Linked DNA regions of Drosophila melanogaster. The protein of the gene in region 3 interacts with the protein of the main gene of each other region in a biochemical or structural test. Each region holds a gene or a part of one and is shown on either strand. Other genes may lie near its edges.

Region 1 (5,683 bases), on a different chromosome or scaffold from region 3:
CCAGCATGTACCGGCGGTCGAAGTGCTCCCTGAACGAAGTTTCCATGGACTCGGCCATGGGCCTTATCCAACAGGCGATCGATGCGGGCGTCAATATAGCCGAGGTTTATGTGGATACGGTGGGTCCGCCGGAGAAGTACCAGGAGAAGTTGCTCAAACGTTTCCCCAGCTTTAAAATCACCGTGGCGAAAAAAGCTGACTCCACCTATCCAATAGTCTCTGCTGCTAGTATATGCGCCAAAGTTACCCGTGATCATGCCCTCAAGGTGTGGAGCTTCCCCGAGGGCTTGGTCATTAAGGACAACGAGTTCGGCAGTGGATATCCGGGAGATCCGGTCACAAGAAGATTTCTGACCGAGTACATCGATCTAGTGTTTGGATTTCCACGACTTGTGCGCTTCAGTTGGTCCACCGCGGAAAACGCACTGGCGGACAAGGCCTATGACATGGAGTTCGACGAGCCGGATTCCGAGAAGCCCAAGTACGCCGGCACCAAGCTCACAAAGTTCTTTAAGGGCACAACAAAATCCGGCGAAATAATTCGCGAGGAGTGCCGCTTCTTTAAGCAACGCCATCTGGAAAGTGTCATGGAGTTTTAGCAACAAATGAAAATAAAATTAAGTTCAGGAGTATCTATATTTACAAAGAATAAAGTTTAATTTAAGTACTTTAGTATTAAATTTTAAAATGCTAAAATACAAAAAACACCCAGGCCCAAAACGAAAACAGATTAATTTTTATCTTTAATGTATTTTTGCTGATGTTCTTGTGTTTCCGCCAATCTCGTGTTCTTAATAATTACGTTCGATTACTGACTACGTGGGACTGCAGTTACACTGTTCTGAATGTATGCGTGAATCGGTCTGATCTGATCTCTTGGCATCCCTTTTTTGGAGGACAACTGTGGAATTGGGTAAAGGACTTTTGGTGGGGAGGGCGGGGAGTTGGCTGGCATCTTTGATCGATACAATAACAAAATGCAAAGTTATACTAAACGATTTTCGTATAAAAAGGGACGACCTTAGAAACATGGAGCTTATGATTAAGATTAAAATGAGGCGAGTCGCATCCCGCTGATCTGAAGAGAACAACAACCATGTTGAAGCCCCCAAAAATCCCAGGTGCATATCGATATTTTGTGACTCGAAACTAAGCGTACGAAATAGACGTGGACAAAAGCGGGAGGATCTCATCTCAAGAGGTATACCTTAAAGAACTAATTAGAATTTAAAGCAATTACAAATACGATTGCAGGGCGGGATAGCTAAGAAAGGAGTTACCTAAGGTCCGGACTCCAGATCCAAATCGACTTATGTTGGTAGAATTGTAACTGATCATATTTCACTTCTTTAAAAAATATAGTTAAATGCAATTTTTGAATCAAAAGTAAAAACTTCTCGTTCCGTAAGAAAGTGAAAAACTACCGATTTCATTTTTACCAAATAATGAGCTGGAAAAGGAATCTTGACTATTTTAAGCGTTGGCTCAATACACGAAATCCAGTTGTGGCTGCTCCGGCAATCAGAACTTTCGCAGGTCCAACACGAAAACGCTACCGTCGGAGGCACTGGCACCCACCTTAGTGCCCTTGGAGTTCCAGCACACCTCAAAGATTCCGCCCGTGCCCTTGTAACTGTGCACTAGCTGTCCCGTTTGCGTGCTCCAAATGTGTACGCACTTGTCGAAGCTGCCGGAGGCCAAATGCTTTCCATCCGGACTGAAGGCCACCGAATAGACTGGCTCTGTGTGCTTGGTGAGCGTGTGGATACAGCTGCCCCTCTCCACGTCCCACAGTCTTACCGTGGAATCGAACGAAGCGGATGCGAGGATCAGGTTTGTGTTTGGATTATTGGTTCCCGGCCCCGTGGGCGACCATTTTATCGTATAGATCTCCTTTGAGTGAGCCTGCAGATCGTGGCAGCAACGATCTCGGTTCATGCTCCAGATCTTGAGGGTCATGTCATCAGAGCAGGACGCCAGCAGTTGGCCCTGCGGACACCACTTGATTGCATTCACCTCGTTTGTGTGTCCTTTAAAGGTCTTGATGGGTTCATTTACACCCAACCGGCACACATGTATCCGCTGATCCGTACTGCAAGAGGCAAAGGCCTGGTTTGTCTGCCAGTCCACATCCAAGGCTGGAGCACTGTGAAAGGCAAATTGCTGGGTGCATTGGCCCGTGGATGCGTCCCAGATGATCGTCGTCTTGTCCACGCCAGCCGAGAGGATGTAGTTGCCGCACTTGTTCCACTTCAGAGCAAAGATCGGACCCTTGTGTTGTCCCAAAGTAGAAGCAAGTCGACCGTCGGTTTTCCAAATTCGGGCGTAACCATCGTAGCTGCCGGTGGCGAGCAAGGAACCATCGCACTGCAAAAACGAGAATAGATTAAGTAAGGATCAGAAATCAAACTTTGCAAGGCTTAAGTGCCAAGATCTTCGACTTACATTCCAGTCCAGAGAGGTGACGTCCTTGTTGCTAGGCACCTCAGCGCCGCCTTTCTGGATGCAGTGGCGCAGCACCAACTGGTTGGAGTTAGTGTTTGCATCGGACATGTCCCATATCCTAGCAGTGCTGTCTCCCGAACCGCTTGCCAGTAAATCCCGGCTAGGATTCCATGCGCAGATAAACACCTCGCTTTCGTGGCCGCGTAATACACGAGCCTTGGATTCGGGTATTTCGATGTTCTCGTCAATGTCCATGGGAACAAGAGCTGCGGGAGTCCCAGCACCTCCGCTGGTAGACGAGGAGATGGTTCCACTGGGAGCAGAGCTTTGAGCATTGGACGAACCAGACTGCACGTTGTTTCCTTGGGCTCCTACGCGAATCGTAACCGCTCCACTTGGCGCCTTTGATCCTGTTGCAGTCGAAGCTCCGCCCGATGCTGCTGCGTCCGGATTGGAGGTTGATACAGTTCCACCAGCGGGCGTCAGCCCGCTTGTAGGTTGTTCTACGCTGCTGGAAGTGCTGCTATTGCCATTTGTGGATGTTGAGGAGGCTGCATCATCGGTACTGGTAGCATTTGCATTGCCTGCATTGCCACTAGATGAGCTTCCCGCTTCATTCGAGTTCTGGGATTTCTTTTGACTTGCCCCAGGTGCTGCCAAATCTCCACCAGCTGGTGTGCTTGTGCTATTAGATCCTCCAGTACTGGCCTGGTTCCCTCCAGCTCCATTGTTTCCGGCGTATGTGCCGCCAGCATTATTTGCCGCATTTCCACTGGAGTCTACCTCGCTTGCCGACTGATCGGTTGGTGTGCTTGTGCCCGTGGTGCTGCCAGCAATTTTGTTTCCACCTGCTGAGCCCGCCACTCCGGTACCCGGTTCTATTTTTATCTCAGGCTTGGCATTGTTGTTCTGGTTGCCACCGGCAGGGGCAGAAGAGTCGACTGCCCCGGGTTTTCCCGGCTCTGTTTTCACAATGGGCTTGAGTGGCTTCACCTCCGGCATGACAGCGTCTATTAGAGAGAGTCCTTCAATGGGTCGCGCCACCTCGCCGTCTTCGCCTACGCTCCACTCCACTTCAGTGTACAGAAGACCCTTCTGCAGGATGGTGAGCAAAGCGGCAGGTGGAACCAATGCGCCATTGATATTACTTTGCGAGATGTGTGACTCAATGCCAAACACGTAGGCCGAGTGCAGAAAGCCTAGAAAACGGGATTGCATGAGATTAGGGCGGGCTGTTATCTTGCGATTGGAGGGTTTTACTCACCCGACTCCTGCAGGTATCGGTAAACCAGAAAGTTCACCTCGTCGCTGGAAAAACTCATGACGGAACGCGGTTGGCTCCTTCTCCTACTACTAGCGCACTCCAAAATCCACTCCTATCTCCAATGCCAATTATGTTTTTACGGTGCGAAAATCGGAACTGTGCTGCGTAACACATGCGTCTGCATTCGGCACGCTTATCACTTCGGCGCAAGCCACGGTATCCGGTGCTACTCCTGGTACTTGGATCGATCTGGTCGGTCCTGTGTTTTCAATTCTGCCAGTTTGCTGCTTGCCGCAAGAGCACTTCACATATTTTTTCCACAAATAAAACCGAGGGATCGAAAACGCGTTTCTGAAACGCGCAAAAAAATGGCGGAGTAATCTCAAGGTGTGCGCTGCGAGAGGTTGCGCAGCCTTGTGTTTTGTGACGTCACAAGTTTTGACAACAACTTAATCAAATTTGAGTCATATTTTTGTATTGCACCAAGCGTTACCTTAAAGGATAGAACGGAAATTTATTAGCCATAAAAACAATTAAGAAGATATTTTTGGATTTCTGCTTGGAGCAAAAGGTAAAAAATTCTTAAAGCGAATTGTCGTCTCTCTTCGTCCATCCCTGTGTACCCATCCCTCGAAGTAATCATTGTATTTCAACCCAACGCTCTACTGGTCACACCAATCGTTCCACCCGCGCCCGCTAGATGGCTCCACTCTTAGGCAGCGAGAGCGAAGAAAAATCAATAGAAATTTTCATTTTAGTGAATTGCCCTGCACTTGGTAATAGTTAACAAACAAATTAGCGGCAAATCAGCGAGGCGAAGCTCCAGCGAGTTGGAGTTCCATAAAGTGCAACACGCAGGGTCAAACATTCCGCAGCCAACACCCCGGATTCCGATTCCAAGCGAAGCCAACTTCAGAAGTCAGAGATTACTCTCTCTGCTCCGCCACAGAAATTCCGCAACGCTAACCGATTTTGTCCGCTGGCGAGTAAAAAAAATCGGAAAAGTAAGCTCAAAAAAAAAGAACAGCTAACATACGCCCATTAATGTTTTTGGAGGCTTCTTCGGTGCTTTTTTTTTTGGGCAAAACGCCCTCGTCATCCAGCGGTGAAAAAAGTGACGTGACATGAAAGCAAAGAAAGAAGAGAACCGAAGAGCGCAGTGAAAAACAGAAAATAAAACGAAACGGAAAGCAAAGTAAAAAGTATACTACAGAAACAAAAGCCGGTGGTCGCGCAAATCCAAATAATAATGCCCAAGTGCACATCGACTTCGCCAGGCGATAAAAAGTGGGCGAGCGAGGTCACAGAATCTTTATCAACGGGCAAAACGCTGCCAAGTTGAAAATAAATCGGTTGCCAAAAATGCGGGGGTACACTCTACTTCCACCAGAAAATGTCAAAGTTCGCCAGCCATTGGGTGCACTGGCCGGAAAATCAATCACGTAGTCCACTATTTACCGTTTAAAAGTTCTGAGTTTATTAAACATTGGATTTTTTATACATATAAATCGTTATCAGCGCTTGATGCTCAGTGAAATGTGTGGTGCATACATATTTTGTGGCGTTTTCGTTATCAAAAGTAAAACTGCAATACGGACTTTCAAAATAGAAGCTGTATCAATGTGTTGGCATGCACAATAAGCTACTCCCTGGCTAAATACAAATTGTTATCCAAAATACCTTTTGTTTGAATAATATACGTTTGTTAACACAAATACTAAAACGTAATCATAATACTAAGTTTTCCCATTCCCACAACCCACAATAAATAGAGTATCGTTTCCCCTTTCAGGTCCCAAGGAACGGCCGAGATCCAATCGAAGTAAAAAGAGCTTTGCAGAACCAGAGCGGAGAGCAACTATATATCTTAGGGTCCGACGTCGAGTTCGAGCGATAAGAACGCCTCGAGACTCGGCCGCCATCCATTGACGATTTTCTTGCGCCCCCAGTTTGCATAAAACCAGCGAAAATTAA
Region 2 (4,149 bases), on a different chromosome or scaffold from region 3:
AGGCCATCCGACAGCAGATCGAAGCCTTTCCCAACGATCCCCCCATCCTCGAGGAGACCTGCGACCAGCGGGTCATTGTTAAGCTGAACATTCACGTGGGCAACACCTCGCTCGTCGACCAGGTCGAGTGGGACATGTCCGAGAAGAACAACAACCCCGAGGAGTTTGCCATTAAACTCTGTGCGGAATTGGGATTGGGAGGAGAGTTTGTTACGGCCATTGCCTACAGCATTAGGGGTCAGCTATCGTGGCACTGTCGAACGTACGCCTTCAGCGAGGCCCCTCTATCAACGATTGATGTGCCCTTCCGGAATCCCAGCGACGCTGACGCATGGGCGCCATTCCTAGAGACGCTTACCGACGCCGAAATGGAGAAGAAAATCCGCGACCAGGACCGCAACACGCGCAGAATGCGACGACTGGCCAATACCACAACTGGTTGGTGATCTTCCGCCGATCCAGCAATGTGTCACTAATGTAATCCTCCTATTAAGTACCATTATGCATCCCAAATAAATGTGTGTCTGTCGATTTTAAAACCTATTGTCTTCTACGCGCTACTTCCAAAAAAAATAGTTCCAAACGATGTTACAAAATAAGCTGATACTCTTTACTGCTTACGCTAAACTCGAATCCTTATTCTACATTATCCAATACTAACTTTCTGCCGAATCGGGCTTGTCTTGGTCCTGATCGCCGTCGTAGAACTCGTTCTTAGCATCAACCAGCTTGTCCTCATCGGCTACGGATATTCGCACGTCGGGATCACTCGCCTCCTCCCGGTTGCTGCGCAGCTCCTCCAAGTCCACATCAGGCGGGGTCTGCACCATTTGGACGCTGGGCGAGTGCTGGCACATCTTAAGGTTTTCATACACATGCTTAACGATGAGTTCAAGATACTGCTTTGAGTTAGCATTATCTTGGCGTGAGTTAATCTCTGGATGGAGTGTAAAGTCGGGGGCGAAAAAGTCGTAATACTCGGTGGCGGGTAGGTCATTTTCAATGTCTTGGTCCACCAGCAGCGAGGTCTCGTGCGTCCAGCAGCGGGCCACGTTCCGTAAGGTGTAGCCACCGCCTCCGACCACCAATGTGGGTACGTTCAGTTCCTTCACAAATTTGACACACTCACCATGTCCCTTGGTGCTCAGGGAGAAGCAACCTAGTCGATCTCCAGCTAGTGAATCCGCGCCACACTGCAAAACGATAGCCGTGGGCCGGTAGAAGTCCATAATGGCAGAAATTATGGGTTTGAACACCTGAAAATAGCTCTGGTCATCAATGCCCTCCTTTAGCGGCACATTAACGCTGTAGTATCGTCCCGATTCGGCGCCTATCTCGTACATGTCTCCCGTGCCGGGAAAAAAGTAGTTTCCGTATTTGTGGAACGAAGCCGTCATCACTCGGTCCGTAAGGTAGAACGCCTCCTGCACCCCGTCGCCGTGGTGCACATCGATGTCGATGTAGAGCACCCGAGGATGGTACTTAAGCAGCTCCAGAATGCCGATGACGATGTCATTCACGTAGCAGAATCCGCTTGCCTCGAACTTCTTGGCGTGATGCAGTCCGCCCGACCAGTTTATGCATATGTCGCTGTGGTTGTGGTTCAGCTTCTGGGCTCCCTCCAGCGAGGCACCCGTGTACATTGCACAGAAGTCGAAGAGGCCATCGAACACGGGACAGTCCTCGCCTACGCTGAAGTGCGCCAGGTACTTCGTATAGGCCACGGCTTAAGAACAGAAAATTATCAGATTATTCTAAATGTTATTCCAATTGGGCGACTTCCTCTTCAACTCACAATTGCACTGAATGTTTTGTGGAGTCACCTGCTGTAAGTAGGCGATGTACTCGTCGCTGTGGAAGCGGAGCATGTCCTGCGCACTGGCCCTGCAAAGAATTCCGGATTAGTATAATTTACGCGGCACAGACACACCTCTCCGCCAACTCACTTGTACGGCCTGTAGATCTTCATTTTCTTGTGCAGTCCGTAGTTCATTACCAGGCTGTGAGTGACCGCCAGGCGTTGCGGCTTCATGGGATGCCCGGCTCCATAGTGGAAGTTGCCCACGTCCGCGTTGTAGAAGTACGACACCCTACGGTCCGTCATCGCGCCAACTTCTCAATTGGATCGGTTATTGCAGGGACGCCGTAGTCCCCTAGTTGTGGACCAAATCCTCGCCGGGCAGCAGGTACGTCTTCGCATACAGGACAATCAGCAGAACGGCCACGATGAAAAGGAGTCGCCGGGTTGTGTCGTATTCGCCCAACAGCATGCCGCTCCCGTGGTCACCTTTGGGTACCTTTGTTTAATCGTGAGATATCAATTTGCTAACTTATTGCCAATTGAAGACAACTTAAAGCGGCGTGCGCCGATAGTGTACTAAAAATGGACATAGCTAGTGATGTACAAACGCACAGTCACGTCACGAGAGCATCCCTATGGTGATGCTATAATTTTTGTTCTGCTCAATTCACAAGTCTCTCTGTGCATGTGGTTTTATTTTATTTTTGGTCGATGTAAGGAAGGCTAGATGTTGTAAAATATACGTGTGTCTTTTAGTTTTCATTTAGGTTTATTTTTAAGCCTAATGTATTAAATGAAATAAATACACGAACGTACGCTTGCCAAAAAAAAAACCCGCCAGATATGACCGAAAGCCGCCGGGCCGGCAGCACTGTCCAGTTAGTTTATCTTCTATTTTGATTTTCTAATTCGACTCTGCTCGCGCTAATTTTCGTGATAGAGAATATTGGAATATTGGAATACGCGTATTGGAGTATTGGAATTGGAGAATGCAGTAATCAACAATAAAAGTCAGTGGACAAGGGAATGCAGAAAGTGTGTCAACTGGCTAAAAACGGCGAATCAGGAAGCGCTCCTTTGGGCAACCGATAAATCCGCCAGCCGAGCAAAATCGGAGCCAATTACGAAACCGCCATTGATTTTGGTTCCCATCAATATGTAAGTTGTGCCCCGGCTTCTGAATTAGTCCCCAAAAAACTTTGAGTCCGCGGAGGAAGCAGTACCCACCAGAAATCTGCGATGTTGACCCTGTATTACGTGAGTGCCACCGTCCTGCAGTCCTGGCGCATTCAAAAGGCGTGCTCCAAGATCGCCGAGCACCTCGCGCAGCCCTCGAGCATCGCCTTCTATACCCTCCAATCGGGCAGCGATGACGGATTCGGTAAGTGGCGGCGTCATTGGAAGGCGTTCACGCTTATATAGACTGCCTGCTTCCTCCACAGATCCCGCCCTGGCCAGCTCGGAGTTGTGCTGCAATCGGAACGCGGCCAAGGTCACGGACATCCTGTGGCTGCACGCCAACCAGCGGGGTTGCTGCCTGCGTCCGCTGCAAACGCTACACATCACGCCTTGGATCAGCTTTCCGCCGGCGCCCAGTCTGCTTCCCTTCTCCTATGCCGCCGACACGTTAACGCCGGCGTCCACGCCCACGGAGGCGGACGTCCCGCGCCAACAACGGGTTTCGCTCTCTGCCCAAGGGGAGGAGCGGATGCAGCTGCTCCTTGAGGCCGACATAGAGCCACTACAGCGGCCCAGCTCCGAGGACACATCAGCAGTACGGGTAAGTTAACCCGACGGCGTGTTGCGTTTTTTTTAATCTCCAAATCCATCAATAAAAAACAGTAAGGCTTAAGCAAATTCAAGTTATAAATGTTTAATTGCCACAATTCGGAGTCCACAAATACATGTTTATACATGTTTATTTGCAACAGAATAGTTCAAAGACTTCAGGATGTAGGAATAGCTTTTTAATGGACTTTTAACTACATAGTTTGGAATTCACCATTAAAGGGGGACTACGAATATTACTCCAAAGTATCTTAAGAATGCTACCGTAATTAAAGTTAGCCCACTTTGTATCATCATAATGAGAACAGATAGGGACAATCGACCTTCGGGTGACGCCGCAATGTGGACGGTGTTGCGTGCGGTAATCTTATTAAGATGTACATGGTTGAATCGATTAGAGCGCTGGCGTCATACATACATACATACGACTACACTAACTAGGGGTATCCTCTCGTGTGTCCTTTCTTCTTCTTGCATGTCGGCGGCCCATGAATCAGCTGGAAGATTACGGTAAGCTAATTGCTTGGAAAATAGATTCCCACCTGGCGGTGCTCATCGAA
Region 3 (4,832 bases):
GCTCTCTGCCGCAATGAGACAGTCTCGTGCTGCTTCTTTCCTTAAGTGTAAAGCAGGCCTCTTCCACGTTCTGGGTTATCCGTTTTAAGTTTTTATAGTTGAATTAGTTTTTGGTTATTTTCTTAAAATATAAAATAAGTGATACTATGGCTAATTTATTTATAAACCAAACGCAAAGGAGAAAATGCAACATTTTGCCGTGTGCTAATCCCAAAACATTTCTTAGGCCAACAATCCTGCGACCTACAAGTAGGTTTAGGCCACTCTATCTCTTAAGAGCTAATTTATTTACAATTGTACGTAGGCTACGACCTTTGTTGAGGGCCATCGCTCTTAGTGAACTGCTAAAAACACACATACCAAAAAAAAAAAAGAAAAAAACGAAACCGGCTTCGAAGAGTTTCACGGGTTTTTAGTTCGTCCCATCCGACTGCTTTCGAAAGCGAATTAGCTTAGCATAAATCAGAGTGAGCCAGGCAGGCGGATTGCGAGTGGGAATCAGGTATCTGAAATCGAGGGATAGACGGATGGATACGGATACTCGGCAGCGTTTAAGCTTAAACACAAAAGACATTAAAACTACGATGTACTCGTTTTTGCTTAGATTAATCGATTACACAAAAAAATGAGAAACACTTAACGTTTACAATGTGATGATAATAGTTTATAATATACACATATAAATACATATAACTATACCTATACCTACTAAAATACCGACTTGTAAGCTTCAAATAGCTGTCGCAGTCTCTTGAGCAAGTTCGGCGGCGAGGCTGAAGAAAACTTTGTAGCATTTTATTTGTTAAGTTTAGTAACACTTCCTCTTAGATCGTATTGCAATTGAAGCCAACGAGATTAATTGTGACGAAAGCTAACAAACAAAACAAAACCAACACAATACCCATACACCATGTAATTTATTTGATATATCATGTGAATCTGAAGCCGATCGCAAAACCGACCAATCATAAGTTCAATCCTATTTTATATACACACTGTAATGGTTTTGAATTTAAAAGCATATGTATAATTTGTACCCTACTCTTAATTAGCCAAATTGAATTTTGTACGACTGTAGTGAAAATAATGACTTTTTAAATATGATTTATCACTGTCCCAAAAAACAAAAAAAAAAAACGCTTTACCACAGCACCGCATTTTTAAGAAGTCAAACACACTTGAATCATTTGACTTGATCATTAAAAATCACCCAATCATTATTCGAGTAAATAAATACAAAGATTATAATGAAATCTACGCAAAATTTGTTTATAATTTATTAGTCTTTTGTTTTTACTTCTACAGGATTTTCGTATGTAGTTTGAGATCATTTTAAGTTTGTTGTCCTCTGCATTTTGACATTATGGCGAACCAAAATTAATGAGTGTCACGCAAAAATGTTACACAAAATATACTCTTCTACTTACTTAAGGTCTTTCCAAGATGATAAACTGATAAACAATGGTTGACAAAGTCTATCTAGTCCATGAGCAAATCTAAATATTAACGAGAGTTTGAAATCAACTTGCGTATTTTCCACGCGATGAAAATACACTTAACATTTAATTACGAATATATATATAACTACAAATACTCTGATATACATATTGTTATATTTTTGTACGTTTAGCTAATTTTTAAATAAATTATTTAATGTGATTTATAAGCCCGATTCCAGTTACAAATAAAATGCGAATTATTACAACTGATCGCTTGCATTTTAAGTGGATATAAAGTTAATTGAGCATAAACATCCAAATAGTGTCAAAGTCGAAACCATGTAAATATTTCTATTTATTTCGAAAATAAATAATATCCTCAAAGAAGTATCGAACGTGAACCAGTACTAGTTCGGAACTCAATACCGCATATTTATAATGCGCCGCCGAACTGAAAGATCGGTGCTATTTTTGGAGTATAGGAACGTCCGCCAGCTGTTTCCAATACTCAGCGGCCGTGTGGTGATCAGAAAACGCGGACAAGTCCCACTTTTTCAGCCGTTGCACCGAAAATCTGAATTAGATTTTACATAATTTTGAGTCCAAATGGAGTTCGACGCCACGTACCACGAGATCTGCTCCGCGCAGACGGTTCAGTCGGAGAGGAGGGGATTCTTCAACGAATTTTGCGTGGACGTGCGTGATGCATGTGGCGACAAGTGGCTGCGCAACTACTTTGGCAAACTGAAGTCCAATGCAGCCCGAGTTCTGTCCATTTTCAGCGATCGCGAGGTGTGCGATCCTGTGCTGGGTGTCCTGGAGCATGTACAGCCGGTGTTCAAGCAGAAGGATGCCCTCTTCTCGGCCCAGCGACGTGCACAGGCGGATAAGCTCTACCTGATGAGCGGCAGTGGCGACGGCGAGGAGAGCAGGGAGCTGCTGCAGCAGGCTCTAATGGCCGCCAATCTGGCCGTGATGCGGGCTCCCGACCGCAATGCAGATCCTGTCCTCGATGAGGGCCTCACCTTGGCATTGGCCTACAGATCGAGGGCTTCCATATTGATCCGCTTGGGCGAGGGGGAGGCAGCATTGAATGACCTCAAGCTGGCCATCAACTTTGGACTGGAGCTCAAGTCCAGTGTGGATTACTACTTAAAGATGGCCAAAGCCTATGCAGGTGGGTCAGCCGGGAGCAACCGATGGTATCATGCTTATGGAAATCCTTTTATTTTCAGTCATGGGAGAACCTGCCCGCGCTGAGATCTCATTGAAGATAGCCGAGAAAATGCCTGGCTGTGATGCCACCCACATCGCACTGTGCCGCAAGGAACTATCATCAGTAAAGCCGAAACCCAAGGAAGCCACCTCGGAACAGGTGCCACAACTGGCACATGGCGAGAGTGCCGAACTAGTTGGTGCGTCCAAGGTGGTGAGGCTGGTGGAGACCAAGGACAAGGGTCGTTTTGTGGTGGCCAACGAGGGTCTGAGAACCGGCGACGTTCTGCTCTTCGAGGAGCCAGTGGCCGCCTGTTTGGAGCCCAGTTACTTTGGCACTCATTGTCATCATTGCTTCAAGAGGTAAGGGATTAATAATGTGAAGTCAGCTGTCAAGCTGTCAAAGAATCCCATTAATTGCAGGCTGCACACTCCCGTTTCCTGTCTCCACTGCTCGGGAATCGCCTTCTGCTCCGCCCAGTGCATGGGCGAGGCCTGCTCCAGTTACCATCGCTTCGAGTGCGAGTATATGGACTTGATGATCGGTTCTGGCATGTCCATCCTGTGCTTCATCGCGCTGCGCATCTTCACACAGGCGCCCAGCTTGGAGCAGGGCTTGGCCACCGCCAATCTGCTCTTCGAGCACTTGTGCTCCCACGAGGAGGACCGCCAGCCGGACGACTACTTGCGGCGAGCTCTGATGTCTGGCTTCCTGTTGCGCATTCTACAGAAGTCGCTGTACTTCGGACGTCGCAAAACTGAGGGAGTGAATCCAACTGCGGTGGAGCTGCAGGTGGCCACCGCTTTGCTGGGCCTGCTGCAGGTGCTCCAGTACAATGCCCACCAGATCTATCAAACCCAAGTGACCGAGGAGCATCGCTTCGACGGCAGTAAGACGGTGTATCTGGCCGCAGGACTTTATGGTACTGGTTCCTACTTCAATCACGAGTGCTGGCCCAGGTGAGTTGTATTATCTTGAATATTATAGAGATCATTAAGGATTCGTCTTATAATTTAAGCACCGCTTGTCATTTTGTTGGCAAGAAGCTGGTCCTCACAGCCACCAGGCCGCATCGTGCCAATGAATTGGTGGCCGTGAACTACGGACCCATTTTCATCAAAAACAACTTGAAGGAGAGACAGCGATCTCTGCGAGGACGCTACTCCTTCAGCTGCAGCTGCATGGCCTGCCAGGAGAACTGGCCACTGCTCCAGAAACTGGACAAGCAAGTGCGATTCTGGTGGGTACTAGCCTCGCTATCAATCGATATACTATAATATCTTTCATTATTAAAGGTGCACCTCAGCCAACTGCTCTAATTTGCTCAAGTTCCCCAAGGATTTGGCAAAGGATGTGCGTTGTCCTCGCTGCCGCAAGAACATCTCACTCAAGGAGAGCGTAGCCAAGATGATCAAGATCGAGGAGCTGTATCGAGAGGCTGCGCGAGCCATGGAGGCCCAGAAAACCGTGGAGGCCATAGAACTTTTCAAGGAGTCGCTCGATATGTTCTTCCAAGTGGCTGCACTGCCTCACAAGGACACCATAGTGGCGCAGCAGTCGCTGCATAAGTGTTTGTCCGATACGGGAACCACATTTAAAAAGGAAGGGAAATGAACGAAAAACTAGTTAATGGCGTGTGCACTTGTATTATTAAATCGTTTTTTTCTACTTGAATGCAAATTAAATTTCATTTTAATGATGTAGGTGTAAATGGTGTACATGCAATTTTTTTAAATTGCCCGCCTTCCTCATTACTGAAATCTAATTGGAAACTTTACTGGGAATTTTACAATTGAAATGTTTTCGCAATAACATAGCTCTGTAAATGCTGCCCTGTTAAGTGTCTGTTAATGGAAACGAATGTTGGTGGTATTTTCTAAAGGTACGGCCACACTGCAGCCGACTTGTTTTGAAATCTATTTGGTTTTGTTTTTCCGGCTAAAATGTTTAAAAAACTTAAGCCAGGTGAAAGTGAGGAGGATGTCCTGCGAATGGCAGCAGAGTTCAATGCAGAGAGAGCGAAGGATCCCAATTTCCAGCCTGCAGCGGCTTTTGTGCGTATGGATAAAGGTGCGGCCAGATTCCCTCTGCTTACCAAATATTTATTAAATACATTTATTGTTGAATTTTTTCACAAATGCAGCTCCTAAAAAGTCCATGTTTGCGCAAAGACGGGA

Evidence for each region.
Region 1: the proteins of Smyd4-2 (region 3) and ebi form a complex in vitro, tested with the Drosophila melanogaster proteins (one study listed by BioGRID).
Region 2: the proteins of Smyd4-2 (region 3) and HDAC3 form a complex in vitro, tested with the Drosophila melanogaster proteins (one study listed by BioGRID).

What each region holds. Positions count from the first base shown.
Region 1 is NT_033779.5:413,473-419,155, reverse strand, and holds ebi (ebi), read right to left. Parts: upstream 4,090-5,683; 5' UTR 3,768-4,089; coding exon 3,710-3,767; intron 3,645-3,709; coding exon 2,446-3,644; intron 2,368-2,445; coding exon 1,522-2,367; 3' UTR 620-1,521; downstream 1-619. Other genes in the region: CG13690 (uncharacterized protein), read left to right, coding at 1-599.
Region 2 is NT_033777.3:5,472,220-5,476,368, forward strand, and holds HDAC3 (histone deacetylase 3), read right to left. Parts: upstream 2,382-4,149; 5' UTR 2,271-2,381; coding exon of another isoform or gene 2,154-2,270; 5' UTR 2,105-2,153; coding exon 1,947-2,104; intron 1,885-1,946; coding exon 1,796-1,884; intron 1,727-1,795; coding exon 657-1,726; 3' UTR 591-656; downstream 1-590. Other genes in the region: Snr1 (Snf5-related 1), read left to right, coding at 1-446; CG45100 (uncharacterized protein), read right to left, coding at 2,154-2,270; Hcs (holocarboxylase synthetase), read left to right, coding at 3,041-3,182, 3,244-3,581, 4,087-4,149.
Region 3 is NT_037436.4:12,399,034-12,403,865, reverse strand, and holds Smyd4-2 (SET and MYND domain containing, class 4, member 2), read left to right. Parts: upstream 1-1,930; 5' UTR 1,931-2,045; coding exon 2,046-2,616; intron 2,617-2,674; coding exon 2,675-3,017; intron 3,018-3,077; coding exon 3,078-3,614; intron 3,615-3,673; coding exon 3,674-3,895; intron 3,896-3,950; coding exon 3,951-4,269; 3' UTR 4,270-4,327; downstream 4,328-4,832. Other genes in the region: CG32104 (uncharacterized protein), read left to right, coding at 4,599-4,725, 4,799-4,832.